2 linked regions of the Struthio camelus genome follow. The protein of the gene in region 1 purifies or fractionates together with the protein of each later gene. This does not show direct contact. Links are inferred from orthologs where the notes say so. Each region holds a gene or a part of one and is shown on either strand. Other genes may lie near its edges.

The links. Proteins that work in one complex are often made in the same cells at the same time.
Region 2: the proteins of CLSPN (region 1) and CDC45 purify together in Homo sapiens (affinity purification with western blotting; 4 studies listed by BioGRID and IntAct, with this or other methods). This does not show direct contact. The link is inferred for Struthio camelus from reciprocal best matches to the Homo sapiens genes CLSPN and CDC45.

Annotation. Positions count from the first base shown.
Region 1 is NC_090964.1:10,022,895-10,030,076, reverse strand, and holds the start of CLSPN (claspin), read left to right. Parts: upstream 1-4,114; 5' UTR 4,115-4,236; coding exon 4,237-4,257; exon of another isoform or gene 4,258-4,495; intron 4,496-5,172; coding exon 5,173-5,302; intron 5,303-5,866; coding exon 5,867-6,321; intron 6,322-7,182. Other genes in the region: AGO4 (protein argonaute-4), read right to left, coding at 284-380.
Region 2 is NC_090958.1:10,664,155-10,671,641, forward strand, and holds the start of CDC45 (cell division control protein 45 homolog), read left to right. Parts: upstream 1-4,667; 5' UTR 4,668-4,774; coding exon 4,775-4,825; intron 4,826-6,203; coding exon 6,204-6,263; intron 6,264-6,595; coding exon 6,596-6,688; intron 6,689-7,163; coding exon 7,164-7,301; intron 7,302-7,487. Other genes in the region: UFD1 (ubiquitin recognition factor in ER-associated degradation protein 1), read right to left, coding at 31-99, 807-879, 1,304-1,434, 1,790-1,911, 2,746-2,778, 3,444-3,550, 4,363-4,667. UniProt on the Homo sapiens protein: Required for initiation of chromosomal DNA replication. Core component of CDC45-MCM-GINS (CMG) helicase, the molecular machine that unwinds template DNA during replication, and around which the replisome is built.

The sequences.
Region 1 (7,182 bases):
CATCTTCATGTCAGTAAACTTTCCTATTGCACCGAAATTAACACTACTTCGATTACACCAAGGGTTTGATCACAGATATGGTAGATAACATACACTGGACCGCTTTGGTCAAGAAATACATCTCGCAGACATTTTATGGAAGAAGAGCCACAGAATAAGATAGAATTAGGAAAACGCCACATGCGTAATAAGGCCAATATTGAACGGCAGACTGTTTGAAAAATCAGCGCTCACCCTTCCAGAAAGTATCAACCGTAAGCCCTTAAAAACAAAACAGACTCACGCCAAACACTACAACTCGTCACTAGGAAAAGACCTGCCGCAAGCGCGCTGGCGGGCAGGGTCGGAAGCCCACGCGTGCTGTCACACCTCCGTGCCATCGCGATTCCAAGTCACTTCCACGCCTAGAGCCCCGCAGCTGCGCTTACGGCAATGCCCTATCTGCCCTGGCGAGGGGAAGGCGCCCGGCAGCCCCAACACCAAACTTCTGCTGTTTGCGACCCGCCCGCCAAGTTTCGCGGCCAAGTTCCTCTCCGGCGGGGGGAGCCGGGCCGGGCCGGGCCGAGCGGCGGGTCAGAGCCGGCCTGCAGCGCGGCCCCGCTCCGCGCCCAGGCCGCGCCGGCTGCGGCAGCTCCCGCCGGGCCGCGGCCTCCTCCGCGCTGCGCCCGGCCCGGCCCCGCCGCCCTTCGCGCCTGACAGGGCCGGCGGCGCCCGCGCCCCGCCAGGCCGCGCCCGCCCTCGGCCCGGCCCGGCCCGGCCCGCCCGCGGCTCTCACCGGGTCCCAGCGCTTCCATGGCGGCGGCGGCCTCGCTGCGGTCCCCGCCGGCCCCGACGACCGCCCCGGGCCCCGCCGCCGGCCCCGCCGCCGCCGCGTAACGCTTGATCTCGGGAATATTGGCTGCGGGGTGAGGGGGGGGGGTGGCGGAACGGGACGCGGCGGCGGCGGGGAGCGGTCTACCGCGCTGCGCTCGGCCGAGCGGCGGCGCAAACAATCCCCCCGCTGCGCTGCGCTGCCGCCGAGCCCGCGCGCGCCGCCGCCGCCGCCGCGCGCCACCCCCCCCTTCCCCGCGCGCGCGCGCGCGCACGCGAGCGAGCAGGAGCCGCCGGAGGAGAAGGAGGACGAAGAGGCGCCTCCACGCTGGCCGGCGCCGCGGGCACGCGCGCGCACGCGCTCCGCCCCCTGGCGCCGGGGGCGCGCACGCCCGCACCCCTTCGACGCCGGCGCGGCAACAGGTGAGGGGCGGCGCCGGCGGCCGCTTCCCGCGCGCGGGGGGGGCGGCGCCCTCGCAGCGCCGCCCTGACGGGGCCGCCCCCGCCATGACAGCGCCGCCCTGACGGGGCCGCCCCCGCCATGACAGCAGCGCCGCCCCCGGCCCCCACCCCGTGTATTTGGGGGCATTTTGTCAGAAATCAGCAGGTTTTCCCCCGCACTCTGCCCTCGGAGGTGGAACTCAGCCCCCCCCTCCCCTTTTTGGCATCTCTGCGCAGTAAAGCTCCTTTACTGACTGCACGGGTGTATTTACTCAGGTCCTTTTATTAGAGAACTTCCTTTTTTCCCTCTCTCTCTCCTCTCCTTCCAGAATTTCACAGGTTGAAGAATTAGCCCTCCGACCACCCGAAGCTTGGAAATAGTGACACTGCGTCTCTCAAACTCTGCGTTTATCTTCCATTGCAAAATACAGCGCCTAAACCCCACAGCCCGCGGTAACGACTTCCTCCGCTCTTCCCGTCCCCCACCCCCGAAACGGGGAACTCGCCTAACTTAATTACACCCGGTATAACTTCCTACACCAGCGAAACAGCAGTAATTCTGGTTAAAATACCTGAAAAAAATAACGTGTAAAAGTCACCGTGAACGGCTGCAAATTTTAATGCCCTTCAGGGCTGTAAGCAGGGCCAACACTTCCACTAACAAATTTTGTGGGCGAAAAATGTGTAGTAAGTGCGATAGGCTTGTTTGCCAGGGCTAATGATCGGTGTCTACCCAGCAGCTAACAGCTGACGCAGAGATCAATAATAACCATGGGATGTCACTCAGGCACCTTCTGAAAAAGTACTGTGGTAGGGAATTAGCTGGTTTGGTTATTAAGCCAGCTAGTTTGGTTATTAAACTCTTGGTGCACCTTTCAGGACTCACACCGTACACCCATTTTTGGGCTTGTTTTGGTCAACCTCTCTTCCCCCTTCCATCAGGGAAGATCCCACGGGCTGGTTTCAACCAGCACTGGCAACGGGGTGGGCTCACAGACAATAACTTTGGTAGGCTTTATTTTATTATTAGTTTTAATTAACAGCCAGGGAGAGGCCCTTAAAGTAGAGCCCTTGCTGCAGAAGCAACCGCTAGACCCTCTGTCTTGCATAGCCGCAGGAGGGATCTCATAAGGCTGAGGATACGCCTTGGGAGAGAAAGGGGCTGACGGACGCTGGATTTCAGATGTTTAGGTCGCGGAGGACACAGCGTGCAGGAACCTAAAATCAAGGGTCCTGCCAGCGCTCTGCTTGCTGAGATGCTCCTAGACATGCAGTGCAACCCAGTAGTTTTGATTTTGTTACCTGCAGTTTAACACAGTTTGTCTCTGCTTTTTCAGCCCAGGGGTTACTGATGCTTTGCCTTTTAAGAAGCTTTGCTATTTTAGTGAACGGCTTCCTTGCACATCCCACTTTTCTCTTGCTACCATTGAGTTCTGTTAAGTCAACAATTCTCAGCTGACTCACAAGTAGGTCAGAAGTCAAAACATTCTGTAAATAATAAATGCTGTGTCCATTTTATTTGCTTTTTTTTAAACCTGCAACATTTATTTTTTCAAGACCTTCTCTACAAGTAGAAGCATCAAAAACCTTTTAAAAGAAAATCAAATCTGCAGGTCTCATAACTGCCTGACACTAGCTGAATATTTGAGGGAAACACCAGCGTTACAAGACTTGTAAAAAAAAAAAAAACCCATGCTGGCCAGCAACATTTCTATGCTATTATTCAGCATACATATGTGTGCATAGTGCTATTTAAACAGTACTTAAAAAACAAATACACAATCTCTGCCTCATGGAATCTGCAGTACAAAGGCTTGGTCCTGTAAGATGCTGAATATGACAAAAGAAGCCTGTATTTAACGCATGAAAAGCTTAAAAAAAAAAAGCAGAAAAGCAATTAACCTGATAAATAAGTATAAGTTGCGGCATCCTGACAGCCAAAGTGGTCAGGACCTTATTTCTGAAAGTTCTCCCACCCTTATGCTGAAAACATCTACATTCATTTTATTTCCTTTCTCTTTTACATCTTTTACATCTACTTTTACATCTACTTAGGCAGGTTACCTGAGAGACGGTATCTTAACCATATTCATTAATGATGTTTTTGCAGTGCCAGCAGCTGCCTCTCCCGTTACTAAATACCGCCACAGAAACCAGCATTGCGTTGTGACGCCTGCAGTAAGCCTCAGGGGCGTTTGCTTTTCTCACTTCTCCATTCTAGGATGTGTGGGCTAGATGGGAACTATCATAGCAGATTAGCCCATCTGTTCAGCATCCCCCGCAGCACTGCGATGGATAACAACTACTTCAGAGTATATACTTTTTTCCCCCTTCCCCTCCCGGGTTTGCCTTCATGGGCGGACAGCAGGTTCCTGTTTGCACTTCGCGGGATGCTCCGGCGCTCCGGTGCGAGCGCTTATCCGTACTCACCCGCCCGGCAGCGGGAAGGCCGGTACACCCCCACTCCTAACCGCCGCCGGACGCGCGGGGGCAGGCCCACGCCGACGCGGCTCTGCCCCCGCAGCGGGCTCGCCACGCCACCCCCGCGGCCCGGCAAGGCCCTCTCGCTCCGGGCCCACGGCCCGGCCCGCCGCCACCGTCAGGGCACCTCGCACCGCCACGGCGGCCAGAGCGGCTGGCAGCGCACCCCTCCAACCACCCCGCGGCCAACGAGTCACTCCAAGGTTCTGACAGCAGGGGGAGGGGGCTGCCCAATGGCGGGCTTATAGGGCGTGCAAAGCCTTGAAGGGAGAGCCACGATTGGGCGAGGCGAGGGGAGGCGGGACTTCGCGGGAAATCGTCCAATAAAGCTCGCAGGGGGCGGGGCTGTCAGGGCAGCTCTAAGTGCCGATTGGTTGGCCCCAGAGGCGGGGCGGGCCTTGGGCAGCGCGCGAAGACTCGAAGCGGTTTCCTACCCGGCTGGGCGGCCGGAGGGTTTGTGTGGCGCCGGGCCGCGGGTGCCGGGGTGGGCGCTCGGGCTGAGCTATGGCGGCGGCTCCTGGTGAGGTGAGTTCCGCTGCTCTGTGCGGCCGGCCAGCGGCGGCCCGCTGCCTTCCCGTGGGCTTGGTGCTCCTCTGGTCGCGGCGGGGAGGCCGGCGGGGACGGGCAGCGAGTGAGGCGGCAGTGTCCTCTCGATTACCGGAGCGCGCCGGCGGCTTCGCGCCTTCGCCGGACTCGCCTCCCCCGTACCTCGGACGGACTACGCTTCCCAGCGTGCCCTGCGGAGGCTCATTCCACTTAGCGCGGGCGGTGCATGCTGGGAAGTTGGTTGCCCTGTCGGGGGGCGGGTGCGGTGCATGCTGGGAAGGCTGGTGCCCGTTCCGGGCGCGGTGCGTGCTGGGAGAGGCGCTGCGGCCTAGGCGGCACCGCCGTCACCGGGGGCGGCCGGTGAGGGCCGGCCCCGGCGGCTGCGGGCCCCGGGCGGCCGGGGCCGGCACGGAGCGGGGCCGGCCCTGAGCGAAGCGTCGCGGGGCCCGCGTGTGCGGGGCCAGCACCCTTCTCCCTCCGGCCTGCGTCGCCGTGCGCGGCCCCCGCGCCTCGTCTCAGGGCTGCTTTCTAGAGAGCACCCACAAGCGTCTGGTCCCTCCCCCTGCACTGTGTAAAATGCCGCTTTCGGAGATGAAATTTCAAAGTTTCTCATCAATTACTTCATTCTAGTAATTTTGAGTAATGTCAGTAGAGATCTTCCAGTATGTTCTTTTTTTTCCTTGTGCAAGCTCACATTAAACATATTTAAAAGCCAATAAAGGTTGATGTTGCATAATTCCCCTCCGTGTAAAGGTGAATTAATTCTTAATAATATGTGTGCATATATTCCTATGTAAAGAGTTAGCCAAGGTCTTGGACTAAGTTAAACTGCATGAGTCATTACTACATAAACAACACTTACCATATTAAGGATGATTTTACTTTGCTTTGTAGTTTCACTTAGAAGATTTGAAATCAGACTTGCAGAAAACCACTGATAGTGATTCTGACAGTGGACAGGGCAGCTGTGAAACAGGCTCTCCAGGTCACCTCAACAAGGAGAGAGCATCTCTTGATGACAGAGGTCTGTAATATTTCTGTAAATCGTGCCTGGAGGTGATTGTCTTCAATAGTGAAAGTTGAGACTACATGATCTTTGACCTTCTGAAAGTTGCGTGTTTTTGTTGCACCTGTATGAATCCAAACTGCCCTTTTGGCCGCTAAGAATGCGGGCAGACAGATATCTGAAAACATCAGAAAACCAGTTCTTGAGGTTCAAAAAGATAAATGGGATGTGAATATCTTAATTGCTTATTTTCTTTCTTTTTTTGATTTGCTTAATCTACCAAGGGCAACATGATATGCACTTATTTAGTTACTGTATTTTTATTTTTATTTTAGGGGCTGTTACTAATTATTTGTGAATGGTCTTTAGCTTTTTTAAGTCTAAAAACCTATAGCATCAGTTTGGGTCAATTATGTATTGCATGATAGGAAACAAGTGGATTTTGAATTCAAGTTATTTTGCTATAATTGTTGAAATCTGTGAAATTTAGTAGGCTTATATGTAGGCTGTATTTAAGTGATTGCTTATTAATGGAGTTCACCTCTCTATAACATGCATCCCTTTTTTAATATATTTTGTCAGATTCAGAGGAAGAGATTTTTCTAAGTAAAAAAACAAAAAGCAAAAGGTTGCTTCGGGATAGTGAAAGTGAACATGAAGAAGATAGTGGCTCTTCTAAAAAGAATGATACTCTGGGTGGAGTCATGGAAAATGGAGAGGAAAAGGAGAACATTACTGCCCAGAAGAACAAAAAATCTCATCGAGTTCGCCAAGGTCTGCTGGATAGTGAGGACAGTGACACTGGTGACCGATTGCAAGTTGAAAACTTTGAAACGAGCAAAAAGTCGGACTTTCCTGAGAATGAGTTGGGAGAGGAGAGACCCCTAAAATCTGGGAAAAAATACAGAAAACATAAACATGATTTTGAAGAAGAGACAGCCAAAAAATCTATAGGAAAACCAAGGAGAAAAAAGGAGAAAGAAAGAAGGACTGAATCCATTAAGCAACTGAAAAAAGAAAAGAAACCTAGAGCAGAGGTATATATTTTTGGCAGAAAATCCCAAATGGTTTCCCAACTAAGTTAAATTCTATTTCTGCGCTTGCTTACTGTGTTTCAATGTTTCAGCATCACTTGTGTCCACATTACTACAGCAGGCATTGTGTCCACAGAGGTCTATAGTTCTGCTATATAGAGATAGCAGTTTTATTTACAGAGAAAGTACAAATCCTAGCACTCAATGATTTAACATCAGTGCATGTGAAGTCAGGCAGGGATGATGATAATGGGTGTCCTCTTGAGAAAGAAGGGGTTGAGGAGAGGAGTGTTGATAGGAGTCTATTTTAGTTTGGTAATTCTGTAATCTTGAAAGTGATGTGTTATGCTTCAGATTTTTCCCTTATCCTGCTTGTCAGCAATAGTTAGATGACATCAAGATTTCTCTTTACCTCCTTGCAATTATAAGGCTGTAACATCACAAGATGGAAGCAGATCATGCTGACTAATGGCATCAGTTCAAATTGAGTGGCAGTAGAAACACTGGGAAAAAAAAAATATTTTTGGGGATAATAATGATAAACATTTTTTTGGGATAATAATGATGTTCATTGTTGCTATTTATAAAATATTTGAAGTATTAATTTATTCTGTCTAAGTGGTCTTGCTCTTTAGTAGCTCTTCAAAGTCCCTATATGTTATAGTTGTAGGAAACGTTGTTCTGTAAATTAGTTTATCAACTTCGCAGTGCTATAAAGTGAATGTGACCAGCTCACAGGACACAAAGATGTTACAGTACCGGTGACATAAACCTTTTTTAACTTCTTATCATCAAGACCTTTTACCAGTAGTCTTAAATTAATTTTAAAGGCTGAAGAGGTACTTCTGAAATGAACTATGCAAG
Region 2 (7,487 bases), on another chromosome or scaffold:
AACAGACTTTCCACAACGGCCTTAACTTACATTCATATCACATTCTATGATGGACACAGCCTTATCAGGTTTGGTCTCCATTACTCGGAGCTCATAGATCTGAAACAGTAATGATTATTTTAAGATTATAGACGAAGGAGCACAATTTCGGTATGAGAAAAGCATAGCTAAACCTTCCCTTCAGAAAGTTCGAAGTAAATTGAAATACATGCTCTTTACGTTGAGGACTGGATACTGCAGGGTATTTATAAAATACGAGAACAAAGGAATTAACCTAGACATAAGACTGCTATATCCTGGAGCTAAGAAACCTACCTCTTATTGTCAACCTGCATTTCTGAAAGCAAATTATGGATTCAGGATAATTTCTGTCCCACGATTTGTAAGAACTTCAACAGCATCAAATTATGTTTTCTCTGTTGACTCAAAGACCAGTCTAAATAGAAGCTCAGAGGAGGATTTAATTGACCCTATTTTTCAATAGAAAACTGATTGCGAAATCTACCATCTGGGATTTACATGTCAACAATATTGCACAGCTCCATGTTGATTGTTTTTGCAGCAACATCCAACAATTGTGCTTAGTCCACAACTCGAAAGGATCAAACGTGAACATGGGCTGCCAAAAGCTTCATCCACTAATCCCCATCTATCAAATCTATTCACAAGGTGTAGTCAAAGTACGTAAGTTGTCGTGATACACTGAAATGTAGGTTTTTTTTTTTTTTTTAAAAACACGGAGCAAAATTTCTTTCCTCAGATTCATGGCATCCAGATTAAACCTGTATACATAATGTATACTGTACCTTTTCATTATAGTTGATGGCAATAACATCCCCAGTAGTTAGACAAGCAAAGTTTCTCAACGCATTTTCTAATCTTTGGAGTATGTTAAGACGAAACACATTTGTATTCAATGCAACATCAAAGCTTTAAAGTTACTAAGATATAGAACTGTGGTCCTTGATCTCTCAAAGATGGTTTAAAAGTCATCAGTACCATGGACAGCCTTTTAGTAAATATTAAGGAATACAACATCCTCTGTAGATATTCCAAAGGACACTCAAACTTACTGCACTTTAAGCCAAGATGCATGCTTTCTCACTCTAGACTACGCTTTGTGCTAGCAGCTTGCAACTTCTCTGTACATAAGCCCTCCCTCCTTTTCGTCTTCAGAAGGAGCAATAGTAGTTACCTCCTTCTGGAAAAGTATGAACAACACCTGAAAAGCTGACCCTGCTTCATCATCCCAGTTTGGGAGAAATCTTTTGTTCCCTGCTCCATAGCTGAATAAGAAGGATACACAGCTTTGGGATTGGTGATATCAAGAAAATCTGGACTCTGTGGCTGAAATTTTGAATAAGTAGCAACTTGAAGATTAACACTCTCCACTTGTACCAGGCCTCCTTCCTCCAGCAGCAAGTTCTGCATCATCTGGAAGAATGAAGACAAAGATGCAAATCAATATCAACAGGTTTTTTTTTTTTTATTTTTTTTCACTTGAATATACCTATATACATTTGGGCCACCATCTTACCTGAAATCCACCAGTTTACTTGTGTTTTAATTTCAGGAAGACAACAGTCAGGTACATCTTAAAAAGCAGTCTGCTTTGCATACTTAGTTAAAGTCATACAAAGGGAAACCTGAGCTTTACCTGAAAGCAGCTGTAGAAACAGGTCTAGCAAAGATATGCAATTTCAGCAAACATTGTGCCTCTTTAATATTTAACTGGCAACTCATTAATCCTCCCCATCAGGTTCTGACAGTTCAGCAAGAGACAACTCACCCAGTGTGGAAGGTAACATATGCCCTCATCAGCCACAAATTCAAGCACTCCACAGTGCGTCATTCGGTCTGAATTTTTATTGGTCAGCTTAAACAACATTGGGTAAGTAATATTAAGTCGGCCTGGTGAGAGAGAAGGAAAAAGGATTTTATTTATAAAGACACTAGCACATTTACAAAGCTTTCAGAGACTGAACATTAGCAAGAGAATAGCATATAGGAGAAGATTCCCTCTCCCCTTAATCCAAGTCCCCCAAAATACAAATCCAGGAGAGAAAGCAGATACACGAGTACTGTATTGCCATTACACTTAGAGCTTTAAATGCCTCCCCAGCATTTCCCCAAGCTTGGAGATGACCAGGCAATGAGTATTAGCAAAAAAACCCAAAAATTATTGTTATGCCCTTTGGCACTTAACAATTAGCTCCAAAAGAATTCTTACATCCCTTGCCTATTTTAAAAATAAATCCTGACTTAATTTGTTTCTGAAAGAAATTCTAATAAAGACAACACTCAGAAGGAAGAAAAAATGGTGTTAAAAGGGGCAATAAACACCATTTAAACTATTAATGCAACTATCTCCCCAATTTCAAAGTTGATTTTCATTTATTCTGTCTTTAAAATAAAATTTTCTTCATAAAAGTGTTCATAACAAGTAGGTTGGTATTAAGAACTCACTGGATTAACTGCAACCATTACACTGTGAATGTTATTAATAATTAATAAGCATTAATTCATGTATCAGGTAGCTTGACACTTCAGATGTCTGTACTTAAAGACAGACAAAATCCCTTAACTCTGAGAAACAAAATACCCCCAAAAATACATCTTTTGAAAAACTTGGTCTCATGCTTTCTATTTAAGTCAGATTTTGAGAGATAATTTAAAAACTCCGATACTTGCTTATGCCTATGTTTGTATTTCTAATTCTTATTCCAAAATAATGCTTGCACTTACTGAGTTGATCCAAAGCAGACGGTGGCATAATTACTGCAGAAATTAATAAGAGAGTTAAAGTAAGATTCGGAAAAGTATGGCTGCACAAAGATAACATAATCTACAGTTTTATCATTCTTTCCTGTAGGATAATATTTACTCTAAAATCTCACGTAAGTTAATATCTAAGCTAGAGATTCCAGTAGAATCAGTCACAACAAGTACACCTGCTAACACAGGAATTTTAGATTTTAATTAGAAATTAGATAAGACAAGATCTTACAATACCTAGTACTAAAGGAAATGCTTCCTAAAGGTACTTTTGGGGGCTTACATGTCCCCTTGAACTGATGCCAACTCAAAACAACACAGCATTGGCTATGGCTCATACCAGTGATAAGATTTTAATAAGGGACTTCAGAAAGGGGAAAAAAAAAAAAGGGAGGCTTCCTGTAATGATCAGGACTCACTCGTTACTAAATTTTTAAATTAGAGAATAATGCAATAAAAGGAAAACTCTCCTCCTCCCTTCTTATAAGCCCCCACAGTGATCTTCTTGCTCATGCCACACACTGAACAGCATGTCTCCGTACTGTTCAATGTTTCTACAGTCTTGGCCAAAAGCAGTATTACTTGATATTATTCACAAATAGCCTTCAACAGTTTATTAGTCAAAATAAAACATGCACATACTCTTCCCGCCTTTCTCCACATCTGACCTGTCATTAGGTCCGGCAAGCATGGATACTGAGAAGCAACGGTACTGAGTTGAGAAGCGGTTCTGGAAAACCCGTGGGATTGGATGGTCAAACATATTAAAAGAGAACTAAGGAAGGAAGAAGAAAAACAAAAAACAAATAAGGGCAACGGTGAATTAACATGGCTTCTGAAGTATACTGAAATAAAGCGTTACCGCATTCACTAAGCATATTGAAGTCTCTGGAACTCTGTTTCATCTAAAACTGTTTAGAAATCCTATCTTTCCCTATTAAGGAAAGCGCCGTTCTTCTTTCACATAACACGCACAAAGTTTATAAAGGTCTGTACGTCAAGGACTGTGCGGGGAAAAACCACGGAAGCACGCCCCCGCATTACACTTAGAATAACATCGGACCGACTGAAAACCGGCATCGAAGACGCCGCTTTGCAGACAAAACCGCCCAAGCCAGAGAAGCGCGTCCTCGCCGCTAAGCTACGAGCTGGGCTCCGCTCGGCAAAGGGGCAGAACCTCCCTCCGGACAACAACAGCCAGCGACGGCCGCGCTGCCGGCACACAGGCCAGGCCAGGCCAGGCCGCACCGCCCGCGCCGGGCCGCAGCTCGGGCCCGGCCGTGACTCGGCACCTCCCCCCGGCGCGGCCGCCCCGGGCCTCACCATGGTGGCCGTGCCCGCCGGCCCGGGCGGCGCTGAGGCGCAGAGGGGCGGCGCTCGAGCTCCTCCTTCTCCTCCTCCTCCTCCCCCGGCCCCGGCCCCGGCCCCGGCCCCGGCCCCGGCCCCGCTCCCGCCGGCCCCCTCCGCCGCCGCCGCGCAGCTCGGCCCCGGCGCCCGGCCCGCTCCCCGCCCCGCCCCGTTCCCAGCATCCTGCGCGGCAGGCCCACGCCATGCCGGCAGCCGCCTCGCGGGGGGCGGGATTCTCACAAGCGCCGCGGTGGGCGGCGTTGCTGAAGCTTTTTTGGCCGCGCAGCCCTTCCGTAGGCAACACTGTCATGGCGTGCTAAAATGGTCTTTGTCAGTGTCGCTGAATAGCAATGTAAGCGCCTTGCCCTCGCCAAAGATGGCGGAATGGCAGTCAACGCTGGTACGGCGCTTCTCGCTCCGCGGATTGGCCAATCGCAAGGGCGGTGGCTCCGTTTCCCCAATCCGATTGGCGGAGGCTCTGAATAGGTTGAGCAGTTAGCCCAATCCGATCCTCTAATGCGAAGGAGGGGTGAGAGAGTTCCCATTGGCTACTGGGGCGTGGCGGGAAGGCCAATGGGGAGCGGCGGTGCTTTGGCGCCTGGTTTGACTGGGGGCGGCCTGCTGCTGCTCTGCTCCTGCCGCCGCCGCCGCCATGTTCCTCTCCGACTGCCGCCGGGAGTTTTACGACGTGATCGTCAGCCAGGTGCGGGGGAGGCGCGGGTCCGGTCGGGCCGGGCCAGGCGGGGGGGCCGTCCCGTCCCGTCCCGTCCCGGGCCGGGCGCTCCCGGCGGCGGGCGGAGGCGCCGGCCCTCGGGCGTTCCCGTCCCTCCTCTCCCCTCTCGGAGCGCGGGAGGCCCCGCGGGGTCCCCGGCGCGGACAGCGGGGGCGGCCGCGGCGCCTCAGGGTCTCCCCCTTCCCCTCGCTGGTGCCCGCGTCCCCGGGGTCCCCTAGGCCGTCGCGGGGGCCCGGCCGCGGTTGCACGAAGGTCCCTCCTGGGCGCCTTTACAGCGGGAGAAACCTGCCTCAGAGCTGCAGCCCGCGCCTCGCTCTCACCAGGTGTTTCACGTAAAACCCGCCTTTTCAGTTTTTTGACTTTTTTTTTCTTTAAATATCTCTTTGGTTTAACCAAGCTATTCCTAAAGCTACTTCTTTTTGTCCTTTTAATCCTTGTCGTGTTTGCCCACATGTTAAATTTTGTCTTCTGTCTACTGGGAGGTTTTTCTTGCAGTCTTCTGTGACGGCAGTGCTGCTGCTGATCGGTACTTGCGGTTTTTTGCCCGCAGTTTCCTTAACTGTGTTCAGAGTGGATCTATGTAATAAAGCAGTAAAGCTTTTGTCTGGAAAAAAGCTTTTATTGGACAGGCTTTTAATATTTCTACCCATGAAACTATACAGTAGTGGAGCTTGGATTGTGTAAATGTACTCTGGATTGTGTAAATGTAAGCATTTCCCTCAAATTCTCCAGTTGTGGGCAAGGTCTCCAAAAAAAAAAAGTTTTTTCACCTGATTATTTCAGGAGTTGTCTTGCTCTGTTTTTTGCTACAGATTTTCCTTAGTCAAAACTGCTCCAGATACCATGTTGAAAATGGAGGCCATTCTAGATATGTAATCTCTTATGTTACCTAAAATATGCTTTAAAATCGTTGTAGCATTGACAAACTTTGACCCTTCAAAATTATACACTGTTCATATGGGTCAAAATAATCGTGTTTACTCAAAGCAGTTGATGTTCTGAATGTGATTTCACCATCGTGTCACAAGTAAGGCTTACCTTCCTGTGAGATGGAATTGTAAATATAGTTCCAATACTTACAGTGCTTCAGGTGAAGTTATTTTAGTTGCAGTGTCCCTTCAAAAACAATTATGTTTTATGGTTATAATGATCTCCCCCCAGATTCCTCCCTTTCTGTTCTCACAGTGATCTAAGCATTTCTCTGGGATTGCATCTTTGCATAGGACTTGAAATCTTACATAGGGAAGCTAGTGCTTTTAGGAACAACTTAAAAGTGATATACCTACCAGTGCACTAGATTTGGCACCTGCGCTAATATATTAACACTGTTGTTTTGTTATTTTTGCAGCGTGTTCTTCTTCTCGTTGCTTCAGATGTTGATGCATTATGTGCTTGTAAAATACTCCAAGTAAGTCTTTGTTCGTTATCGTTGTAGGCTACCTGTGAAAGGAATGATGCAGTCGGATCCTTTTAATAGGTTTGAACTGAGGAAAGAGGGAAGGATTTAGAACCTTTAAACTAATTTTATAACTTACAGCATTTTCTCCATGAGTCATGAGGCTGACTCCTGGTAAGTCTTACTGCCAAAGTTCATGTAGAATTGTCATTTGGGATGTCTTAAGGATAAAGATTTCTATTAAATAGAATTATAGGATAGTGAAGTATCGTAGTGGAATATGTATAGCATTGTGGCAGAGTATGTTTTCCTCCCTTAGCTGACAGCTCTCTGTTTCTTTTCAGGCTTTATTTCAATGTGATCATGTACAATATACGCTAGTCCCAGTATCTGGGTGGCAAGAGCTTGAAACTGCCTATCTTGAGCATAAAGATCAGGTAAAAATAGTACTGAAAACTGGCTATATGAGATGCACCGCAATGTATAAATGCGCTTCCCCCCTTTTCTCTTTACATTCTTAAAATGTAAGCTCTTAAACTAATACTAGTATTGTTTTACCTCAAAACAGTGGGCAAGTTTAAATGCACCAATAACAAACTTGTCAAGTTTTCTGCACAAACTAATGGGCGGTAATTCTCATAGGGTCAAATTAATTTTGCATCTGTTCTGAGATGTGAAAGATAGCAATATTGGATGTCCAGCATCCCGGAATTTGGTGAATTTGCACGAAATCTTACAAAATTTTGTTCTTCCTTTGAGGCATCAAATATCAGGAAGTAAATACAGATTTCAACAATAACAAGTGTTTTGGAAGTTTTCTAAGGTGTTTTCAGTCTTCCATGTTTCCTGCTAGTTGGAGTAAAAGTAACTTTGTTTTTTTGTGGGTTTTTTGTTTTTGTTTTTTTTTTGCAGTTTAAGTACTTTGTTCTTATTAATTGTGGTGCCAATGTTGACCTATTGGAGATCTTGCAGCCTGAAGAAGACACGTTTTTTTTTGTATGTGACAGCCACAGACCTATCAATGTAGTGAATGTTTACAATGAGACACAGGTAAACTAAGCTTTTTAAAAGCATACATAATAAAAATCTTAGAATGTTCAGTGTGGTGTGGGTGGCATAGTGTTTTTCTGCAAAACTGCTTAAAAGGCCAGCAGTGGGTAAGGAAGCAGTATTAATGATGCCTACAGTAGTAATGTATGTGATGAGGAAAATAATACTATTTTCTGTAATAAATAT